Linked DNA regions of Schizosaccharomyces pombe. Changing the gene in region 2 together with the main gene of any one other region gives a genetic interaction. Each region holds a gene or a part of one and is shown on either strand. Other genes may lie near its edges.

Evidence for each region.
Region 1: of arb2 (region 2) and cwf14, extra expression of one rescues a mutant of the other (dosage rescue), as found in Schizosaccharomyces pombe (one study listed by BioGRID).

The regions. Positions count from the first base shown.
Region 1 is NC_003423.3:2,341,624-2,347,821, reverse strand, and holds cwf14 (G10 protein), read right to left. Parts: upstream 4,282-6,198; 5' UTR 4,119-4,281; coding exon 4,087-4,118; exon of another isoform or gene 4,017-4,086; coding exon 3,637-4,016; exon of another isoform or gene 3,593-3,636; coding exon 3,564-3,592; 3' UTR 3,366-3,563; coding exon of another isoform or gene 531-3,365; 3' UTR 522-530; downstream 1-521. Other genes in the region: msh2 (DNA mismatch repair protein), read left to right, coding at 280-310, 354-436, 531-3,365; endocytosis protein Dip1, read left to right, coding at 4,672-4,726, 4,822-4,911, 5,032-6,011. UniProt on the Schizosaccharomyces pombe protein: Involved in mRNA splicing where it associates with cdc5 and the other cwf proteins as part of the spliceosome.
Region 2 is NC_003424.3:2,307,455-2,311,110, reverse strand, and holds arb2 (argonaute binding protein 2), read right to left. Parts: upstream 2,129-3,656; 5' UTR 2,086-2,128; coding exon 1,899-2,085; exon of another isoform or gene 1,853-1,898; coding exon 1,542-1,852; exon of another isoform or gene 1,502-1,541; coding exon 1,444-1,501; exon of another isoform or gene 1,398-1,443; coding exon 1,165-1,397; intron 1,114-1,164; coding exon 1,023-1,113; intron 982-1,022; coding exon 896-981; 3' UTR 817-895; downstream 1-816. Other genes in the region: rixosome complex WD repeat subunit Crb3, read left to right, coding at 1-550, 594-725; met16 (phosphoadenosine phosphosulfate reductase), read right to left, coding at 2,582-3,382.

The DNA.
Region 1 (6,198 bases), on a different chromosome or scaffold from region 2:
ACAAGGCATTTAATTAAATAGATTAATTTTTAAGATTCAATTTATTAGCTTAGATGAATTTTTTAGTATGTTTGACTAGTTCTGTGTCATATAACTTTGGCAGCTACCAATCTCCCACTGTGTTACTTTCGACGTCGGTCCTTCGTTATTTAACATTCTTTAAATCTATTCCTTTTTTTGAGGTTTTTTATTTATCCTTTTTGAGGACTTAACTGTGGCAAGGAGTTTCTTCTCCTGTTTTATACATTTCGCGTTCGCGCTTTAGAACATTCAATCAATATGTCTTCTAGAAACGCTTCAATTGCTAATGGTTTGTCAAGGGGTTACTTCTTTGAACTAATATTTTAAAACAGAAAGAACTGATGAGGCAAGGATGTTTAATTTTTATGAAAAAATGCCTAAAGATACAAACACAGTGCGTGTATTTGATCGAGGGGTAAGTATTGATGAATAGAAAAATTTACTTAAACTTCGTAAAAAATAACTTGAAATATTATTATTTTTTAATCCAATCTAACACTGTTTTCTAGGAATTTTACGTTGCAATAGGAGAAGACGCTTCGTTTGTTGCTCAAAACGCGTATCACACTACTTCGGTGCTAAAACACCACAATGTGTCTAATACATCTTATTGTAACTTATCTCCTTCACTATTTATTAAGTTTGCGGAAGATGTTTTAAGCAACCTTGCAAAGAGAGTTGAAATTTGGGGAGCCAATTCCGCAAAGACAGGATTTGAATTGTTGAAGCAAGCTAGTCCTGGAAATATGCAAATGCTGGAAGATTTGCTTGTTAGTGAGAATTATCAAGAATCCACAGCCATTAGTGATAGCTCAGTTAGTTCGGTTTTGTTGGCTGTTACTACTAGGGTTAAACAAGATCAGCGAATAATTGGCGTTGCTTTTATAGATCCAATTTTAAAAAAATTAGGTGTTTCAGAATTTGTTGACTCAGATGCTTATACGAACTTTGAAGCTCTCATAGTGCAAGTTGGAGCGAAAGAGTGCATAATATCGCAATCTGGGCATGAATCGACGAATGGCAATTCAGCCGTTTCTATTAACACGGCAGAAATCAATCGTCTTCGAAATATTATTGAAGGTTGTGGCGCATTAGTTACAACTATAAGAAGCTCTGAATTTTCGGCTCGAGATGTTGAACTTGAGCTCTCAAAAGTGCTCGACAGTCCAGTTACACATGCTCTTGTTCCAGAACTAGGTCTACAATTAGCAATGGCATCCTGCAATGCATTGCTTCGCTATTTAGGACCTGCGTTACTAAACCCTGACATGGAAGACGACCGTGAAAACACATCTCGAAAGCTCCATCTGTATCATCACAACTTGGAACAATACATGCGATTAGATATTGCAGCAGTTCGTTCTCTTAACCTACTTCCTCCTCCCAATGGTAATGCTCATAAAACAATGAGTCTTTATGGTTTACTTAATCATTGTAGAACTGCGATGGGAGCAAGGAATTTAAGAAGATGGATTGTTCAGCCACTTTTGGATGCAAAATCAATTGAACGAAGACATGACTTGGTCTCCGCACTTGTGGAAGATGCTGAGGCACGCCAGTTATTGCTTGATGATGATCATCTTCTTCGTTCAATTCCAGATATTCCTAAACTATGCAGGCGTTTAACTCGTGGATCAGCTAGTCTAGAAGATGTTGTACGTATTTATCAAATGGCAAAGGCACTTCCGAAGATCGTTACGGTACTTGACTCTTTGACTAGTGAACATAAAGATTTGGTGGATAAAGTATACACGAACGTCCTTAACAATCATTGCAAAAACTTGGAAAAATTAATAGAGCTTGTTGAAACCACCATCGACTTGGAAGCATTGGATTCACATCAGTATATTATCCGTGCAGAGTTTGATGAGGAGCTATTAGATTTGCGTCAACGATTAGACGAATTACAGCATTCTATCTTTGAAGAACATAAAAGGGTCGGTTCAGATCTCCACCAAGATACCGAGAAAAAATTACATCTTGAGCAACATCACCTCTATGGATGGTGTCTACGCCTTACTAGAACAGAAGCTGGCTGTTTAAGAGGCCGTAGTTCTCATTATACAGAATTATCAACTCAAAAAAATGGAGTCTACTTTACCACTAAACGTCTTCATTCACTAAACAATTCTTATATGGATCACCAAAAAAGCTACCGGTACCACCAAAATGGGCTTGCACGTGAAGTTATAAAGATAGCTGCAACATACGGTCCTCCTTTGGAGGCGATTGGCCAAGTAATTGCTCATTTGGACGTGATTCTAAGTTTCGCACATGCAAGTACGGTAGCTGTAATACCTTATGTAAGACCAAATATTGTGGATTCAAGCATTGCACAAGAAAAGCATGGACAAAGTAGCAATATTTTGGACATTGTTTCATTAGAAGATACTCCTAATTTTGAAGAAATACGAAGAACTCTAGAAAATAATCATTGTGCTCGTCTCTACCTAAAACAAGCGCGACATCCTTGTTTGGAAGCTCAGGACGATGTGAAGTTCATACCCAATGATGTTAATCTTGAGCATGGAAGTTCAGAGCTATTAATCATAACCGGACCAAATATGGGTGGAAAATCAACGTATATCCGTCAAGTTGGAGTTATTACCGTCATGGCACAGATTGGTTGTCCAGTGCCTTGTGAAGTGGCTGATCTAGATATTATTGATGCTATCCTTGCACGTGTCGGAGCCAGCGACTCACAGCTTAAAGGCATTTCTACTTTCATGGCCGAAATGTTGGAGACCGCTACGATTTTGAGAGCTGCCACACCGCGATCCTTAATCATCATTGATGAATTAGGACGAGGGACTAGCACAACCGATGGTTTTGGATTAGCGTGGGCTATTACAGAACACATCGTGACTCAAATCGGTTGCTTTTGCCTTTTCGCAACACATTATCATGAAATGACCAAACTATCAGAAGAAATCACTACTGTCAAAAATTTGCATGTTACAGCCTATGTAGGTGATTCAGAATCGAAGGATGTAGCTTTACTCTATAATGTTTGTGAAGGAGCTAGTGATCGGAGTTTTGGAATCCATGTTGCTAAACTTGCGCACTTCCCTCCCAAGATTATTGAAATGGCAAGCAACAAAGCCGCAGAATTAGAAGCTGAAGACTCTGGAGCCCAAGGGGATACTCAAGAAGTGAAATCTAAAAAAGAAGGTATGGCAATTGTACGTGATATAATGAGACAATGGCGTAGCAACGTCAAACCAGAAATGACTCAGCAACAAATGATGGACCAATTTCAAAAAGTCATCGGCTCATTCGCACAGCAAATCAATTCCAACAACTGGCTACAATCCAGGGTATCCACAAATGAGGTTTCCTCATGAAGAATGTGAGCAAGGTACTAATTGAAAGAATTCAACCAAGGTACATGTTTTTTGGAAGCGCATTTTATGAATAAAATAATTTTTTACTAAAACGAGGAAAAGCCATAGATCAATGAATTTTATAACCCAAAACTGTTTCATTTGCCATAATAACCAAATAAAAAGATATAAATGGGAAACGAACCACTAGTTTTCCAATTAATCACAGCTTGCACAACCATTACAACCTATTTTCATTAGCAACTGGTAGCAATAGCACTTCTTTACTTACCACAATGAGTACATCTCACACGTTGATCTTTATCAAGTTTTGATTTAGGTACACGACATATACACGTTGAACCAAATTTTGACTCAGCGGTTTGAATACAGCGCAGACAACAAAGTTTCTCGTATCCTGGTTTTTTCCATTTGGCGATTAAATTTCCATCGGCATAATTTTGTTTTAGCAGCCAGTTGTAAAGTTCGGTAGATATGGCTTCCCGTTTGTAGTATAAATCGTATATATAACGACTGCGCTGATGATGAAGTTGAAAAATCGGTGCTAGCATTTCCGTCTTAGTTCCCTTTCCCATTGTATTCTCAATTTGACGCATACGATCTTGGAATTCAATAAGGGTGGGTTCTATTTCATCAAATCCGTCAGGAGGGCTATAGCTAATTAGAATCTTACTTCGTAGGTAAAAATAAAGGTAACAAGGAAAATACTTGGTATACATACCGCTTGGTTCTTGACGTTCGAAGACGAGGCATGATAACAGAATATTTTTTAAGCAAACTACGACTTTTCTTCAATAAACCAACACAGAATAAGGAATGCTTGCTTTAAAGAGATTAAATATAAAGAAACCGATAAAATGAAATCTAGTGATGGGTAGTTTTTATCCTTTTACTTATTTGGTGGTAGTGTACTTATGGGCAAGTTGGATTTGTGAGAATCCAGTGTAAATTCCTTGTAAAATAGACTGCCGCGATTGAAACTGTTGCAAGATATTCTTAACTATAGAAACTAAGTTTTTTCTCCGTTAATTAAATTATAGCCTCTTCAATTGAGGATAATTGAGAATTTTTGAATTTGTGTCTCCACTATATTTTATACCTTAACATATGGCCAAAAGGGAACCAGATGCATTTGTATACTATAATACTACAATACTGTTTTCATGGTATAACATTGACGCTCTGTTGTGTTGACTACTAATCATATATTAAAGTTGATTATCGATGGATATTAGCGAGAATTTTGTCTATTGAATACTAGGCTCGATAATGAGAAAGCGGCAATTAAACCTTCCCTAACCTCCACATGGAGTTCACGGATGTGTTTTATAATTTAGAGAATGAAAAGCAATTTTTGGCGGGTATGCAATTTATTCATAATTGTAAACTTGAATGTGCCTGGGATTCATTATCCTGGCTAAATAGTATTCCCGTTGACGCTAACATTTGGTGACAGAAATTGACGAACTTTTAACTATACCATACGAAAAAAATGAACTGGAAATTGGTGTTTCAAAGTTTCTTTCTTTTATCAACAAATATGGAGGTAATGTTTTGGAGAATTGGGGAAGCACAATTTTCCGTGTTTTTCCTATGGATGAAATACAAAGAAATTGAGTGTTTGTCTCTTTATAGAACATCTTATCTAACAAAATAAATTCAATAGAACCGTACCTAATTACAGAATTCCAATTGCAGAGATGTATGGAAAAGTTCCTCAATAGTCCGCTTTATCAACTAGACGAAAACGCCGTTTTAAGTATTTTCTATGATTGCTTTTTTTTCTTGAAAGAACAACAAACTTTGAAATTCATAATCATTGTCTTTCAATCCGAAATTCAAGAGAATGAGTACTGCTTGCGTTTGTTGGCTTCTACGGGGTTCATTCCCGTCTTGATCAAGGCAATGAAACAGTTCAAGGATCGTTCAGAAAATGTTGCTTTTACATCTTTTCGTTATGCTTTATTCTTAGTGTACTATATTTGTCGCTCGAGACGACTTTCACCGACCGACTTAGTCGCAATTGATGAATATTTTTTAGTAAACCTATTCAAAACGTCGGAAGAAGCTTGGAATGATGAGGACATGGACAGTTTTGGAATGTGCGTCTTGACATTGCTTAGCATCAATGAACAGTTTATGCTTGTTCGGCTTGCTTCCAAAGGTTCGTTTGAAATCGCAAATGGCATAATGGATTTGCTGAGCTCTTCCAAAGTGGATAACGGTATCTACAGTGAAGGCCTAGTTTTCACTCTAAATCGAGAAAAGGATCCACGCTCTCGAATGTTAATACTAAAACAACTATTCCTTCTTTTTACAACTCCCGCTACGTATGAGATATTCTATACCAATGATCTCAATGTCCTAATTGATATATTCATACGCGAAATAAACAATATTCCCGATGAGCTTTCGGATCTTCGGTATGCATATTTGCAAGTTTTGATTCCTTTGCTTGAAAATACACAGGTGCGCCATCCACCTCATTACAAAACTAAGTGTATAGTCGACGCGGTCAATAATGTCTTAATTTCTCACTCAAAAAGCAGCAACATGGAAGATGCACGTACTACAGATGTTGCCATACGTGTTTTAGAAGTACCGTGGCTTCAACAAGAGATGAAGTCATTAGGAACCGCTCAATAATTTTTATTCTACTACTGAAAAACTTTTTATTTTTTTAAAGCACCTCACTCGTTTCCTTCATTTATTGTCAGATCAACCAAAAAGAATTGCAAATTTTAACCAATCTCCTTTCCACTCTTTTTTTTAATACTTTCTCTCTCCTTTTGCCAGTCTGTTGTTTTTTGAAAAGCCAGTTTTGGCGTATTAC
Region 2 (3,656 bases):
TCCCAGTTGCATGACCGTGGATCCTTCCGAACGTGTTGTCTACGTTGGTAACGAAAAGGGAATAATATGGATTCCATTATACACAGGATCATCCACTTTTTCTAACAACGTTAAAGAGAAAAAAAGAGTTACGTCTGTTGATAATACTACTATTCCAAACGCCATCGGAGGTATGGGTCGAGTTGTAGATTATAACGACAGTAGAGAATCAAGTATTATATCGTGTCAATCCCCAATAACCACGTTGACTGTTTCCTTTGATGCTTCTCTACTCATTAGTGGTGATAAGGATGGTAATGTTTTGGTTTGGGATAGTGTTTCTCGACAAGTTTTGCGCCGCCTCGTTCAGTATTATTCGCCGGTCTCTTTTCTTCAATGCAAGGTCGACAAGATATCATTTTATTCAAACTCTTCACTTTCTTTTCCAGTTTTAAAGCGCATGATTACAAATGAGTACTTAAATTCAGATGTTCGAATTTGCATTCAAGATGATGGGGTAGAGCAGCTGATGCAACCGGAAAATATTCTCAAAATCAGCTCTGATATTGTCGTATGTCCACTTCTTAAAGATTTTGAACTAACATAATTTTTAGACACAAGGCTCAGAGTCCAGTTGGCGTGCCAAAGCTGAAACCAGTGAAATGCAGCTCAAGGAAGCAAAAAGATTATTTTATGAATTAAAGCAAATTCATCAAGCGTTATGGGAAAAATACCTGCAAAAGTAACTTTTTTTGTTAGGTTAAAAATTTGAATAAAATTATAAGGGATTGGAATAATTACACTTTTGTAGCAACGGGGTTCTAATTGTTGTAGCCCTTTTGTTATAATCTCATTGGAAAATTTTATTAAATATGTTGAATTAATTTTTTATCGTTAACTATTTTGTTCTCTGTCTTCAGCTTTTACTTGTATTAGTGTCGAGAGCAATCATCTCAAGCAAAACATCGCCAATGTAGTCATAGAATTCATCGATATATTTTCCTAACTTGTTAAAATTTTGTTCTAAGTCAAGGTTTCCATACCTGCTGAAAAGTTAGGTATGCCGCTTTCGGTCATTATGCTATTCATTAAATGTCGACAAGGCTCATGTGAAGGGAGATAATTTCGTGCATGCTGAAAGTCTTAGTTATTATTTATTTCCATTTGAAAAGATTATTTTCTCACTTCTATCAGGTAGCTAACATAGTCGGGGTCATGAAGCTCTTCATTAATGCTCATATTCATAATTAAAAGTATAGCTCCCGCTTTGCCAGAAAATTTCTTCCAATTCAAGTCCAAGTAAGAATTCAGCAAATACGATCCATATTCAGAACCCACAAAGTGTATTTTAGTGCTCACTGAATTGGACATTACATAGTTTAACCCTATTGACACATAGCTCTCTGGAGTCTCGACGTCTATTCTTTGTTAAAAATTTCATTGGATATTAGGAATCAATCTTACCTTTTATGATAGATTTTTTAGTGATTTGAAGTCCCTGAGAGGTGAAATAACGGGTTGTCTAAATTTTGGTAAACATTATTGAATAAATTTGCACATACCCTAGGGAAATTAATGCTTTGGTCCCATAATAGCGCAGAGGGAGAAAATATTACAACTGAAAGTTTCTTTTCTGTGCATTTGGCTATTACATCTAGTACAGTTGCACGTCTCACATCGCCTTCGCGCAAGTTTCTATTTGACCAGATTAAGGGGTGCGACATTGACTGTATAATTATAACTATTCCATTTTCATTAGTTTGCCAATTTCGTGTTGCATATATCCAACTATGTGGTTCTGACGGTGAAGATTCCAATGGTATAGATATTCGTGTTAGAAGGGAATTTTGTAAAGTCCAACTGTAAACGTGATCTAATTTCAATTGCAAGTTAACTCCTGAATTAAATGATTACCCTACCAAGTACAGCAAAATAGAATTTTTCGTTGTACTCTTTATCTTTGGTAACTTGAAATTCATATAGCTCATTTGGCGCGTTCAACTTCCTCAAGTAAAAATCGTTGGTAATTTGGAGATTCATGTCTTCAAGACAATTCCCAAAGTTGACGTCCCTTTGGAGTACACGGGATTTCTTTTTCCTAAACATATGTAAGGCCTACTTACCAATAATAAATTACGATAAGTCGGTTAGTAGTAGGTGACATTACAAAATAATTGAATGGTGACTCAATTTTTGTTGTTAAAAAATATATATATGAATTTGTAGATCAATACTACATAGTTTATTCTATATATTTAATAAAAAAAAGGAGGAAAGCATTGTAAGTTCATATGGTTTTAGGTCTTCAAATTTCAACGTATAAACCACTTCAATTTTTTGATAATTAAATCATCTTATTTCTAATATATCTATTTGTATAGGTGTAAACACCGAGAAGTTTCTTCATAGTGTATCCCTAACCTTCTTCGTCACGATAATAATTTAACCCATTTACTAAGAATGTATGCTGAAAACCTTCTCACAATGACCAACTAAAACAAAGAGAAACTCTTGAATTGTCTACTTAAAAATGCCGTATTTTTTCATATGGTGCACTTCGATAACAAAAAAGCAGTTTACAACATTGCACAAAAGGATTGTTTCACTGATCAGCCGTCTCCTTCTTTTTAAGCTCCGCCATATATTGTGCGAATTTACTTTGAGGATGACTGTGTAATCCACATTCTGTTTTCTCTCGACCGCGCCAACGTCCGGCACGTTCATCTTCACCTTCTCTAACTGGTTGAGTAGAGTGCCAGTCACCAACTGATCTGTAACCCTTGTTCAGAAGTTCATTATATGGAACGTTGTTTGTAATAATATAATTATGAACTTCAGTAAAAGACCAGTTAGCCAAGGGGTTGATCTTTAATACTGGTCCATCCAGCTGAACAATGGGCAAAGATCCGCGCTCTCCACCTTGACTACGGCGGCGGCCAGTAAACACAGCAAGTACATTTAAGTCAGAATAAGCACGACTTGCTGGTTCCACTTTGACTAAAAAGTCATACCGAGATTCATCTGTCTCCCAAAGCTTCTCACCAAACTTCTGAGCAAATTCCTTTTCGTTGGCTGCTTCAGCACAACGATAGACGTGAACAGGCACGTTAGGATACTTAGTTTTGACTTTTTCAAGAAGATCCAGTGTTTCTGGGAAATGATGAAGTGTGTTGATAAAAATCAGAGGAACATTCATATCCATTTTCGATAACATGTCCATAATAACAAGCCCGGACAGTCCTAACGCAGATGTTTGAAACAAAGAAGGAAGTGTCCAACGGCACCATTTTAAGATATCTTGAGGACTAAGCTCCGATAACTGCTTGTTGATGTATTCGAGATGTTCTGGGTGAAACAAGGTTTTCGCTTGCAATTTATTAGCAGGCGTATCGATTGAGCTCATATTGAGTACAATAAATTAGAAAAACCAAAATTTGGGACGAAATCAATTATGTCGGCGAGGAACCAATGGTTTAAACCGAAGATAAAAAGTCGAAAACTTTTCAAAAAAACCAAAAAAAAAATTTGAGTCGTGTACGCAGAAAAATTTTACTTACACTTACTTTTATAGTTTTATAGAAGCTATTGGTGTGCTCTGTAAGACTTTTAGAGAATAGTCAGACAGGTTTGGAAAATAATTATTACGGAAGATCTGCATCGATGCTTACAAAGGAAGA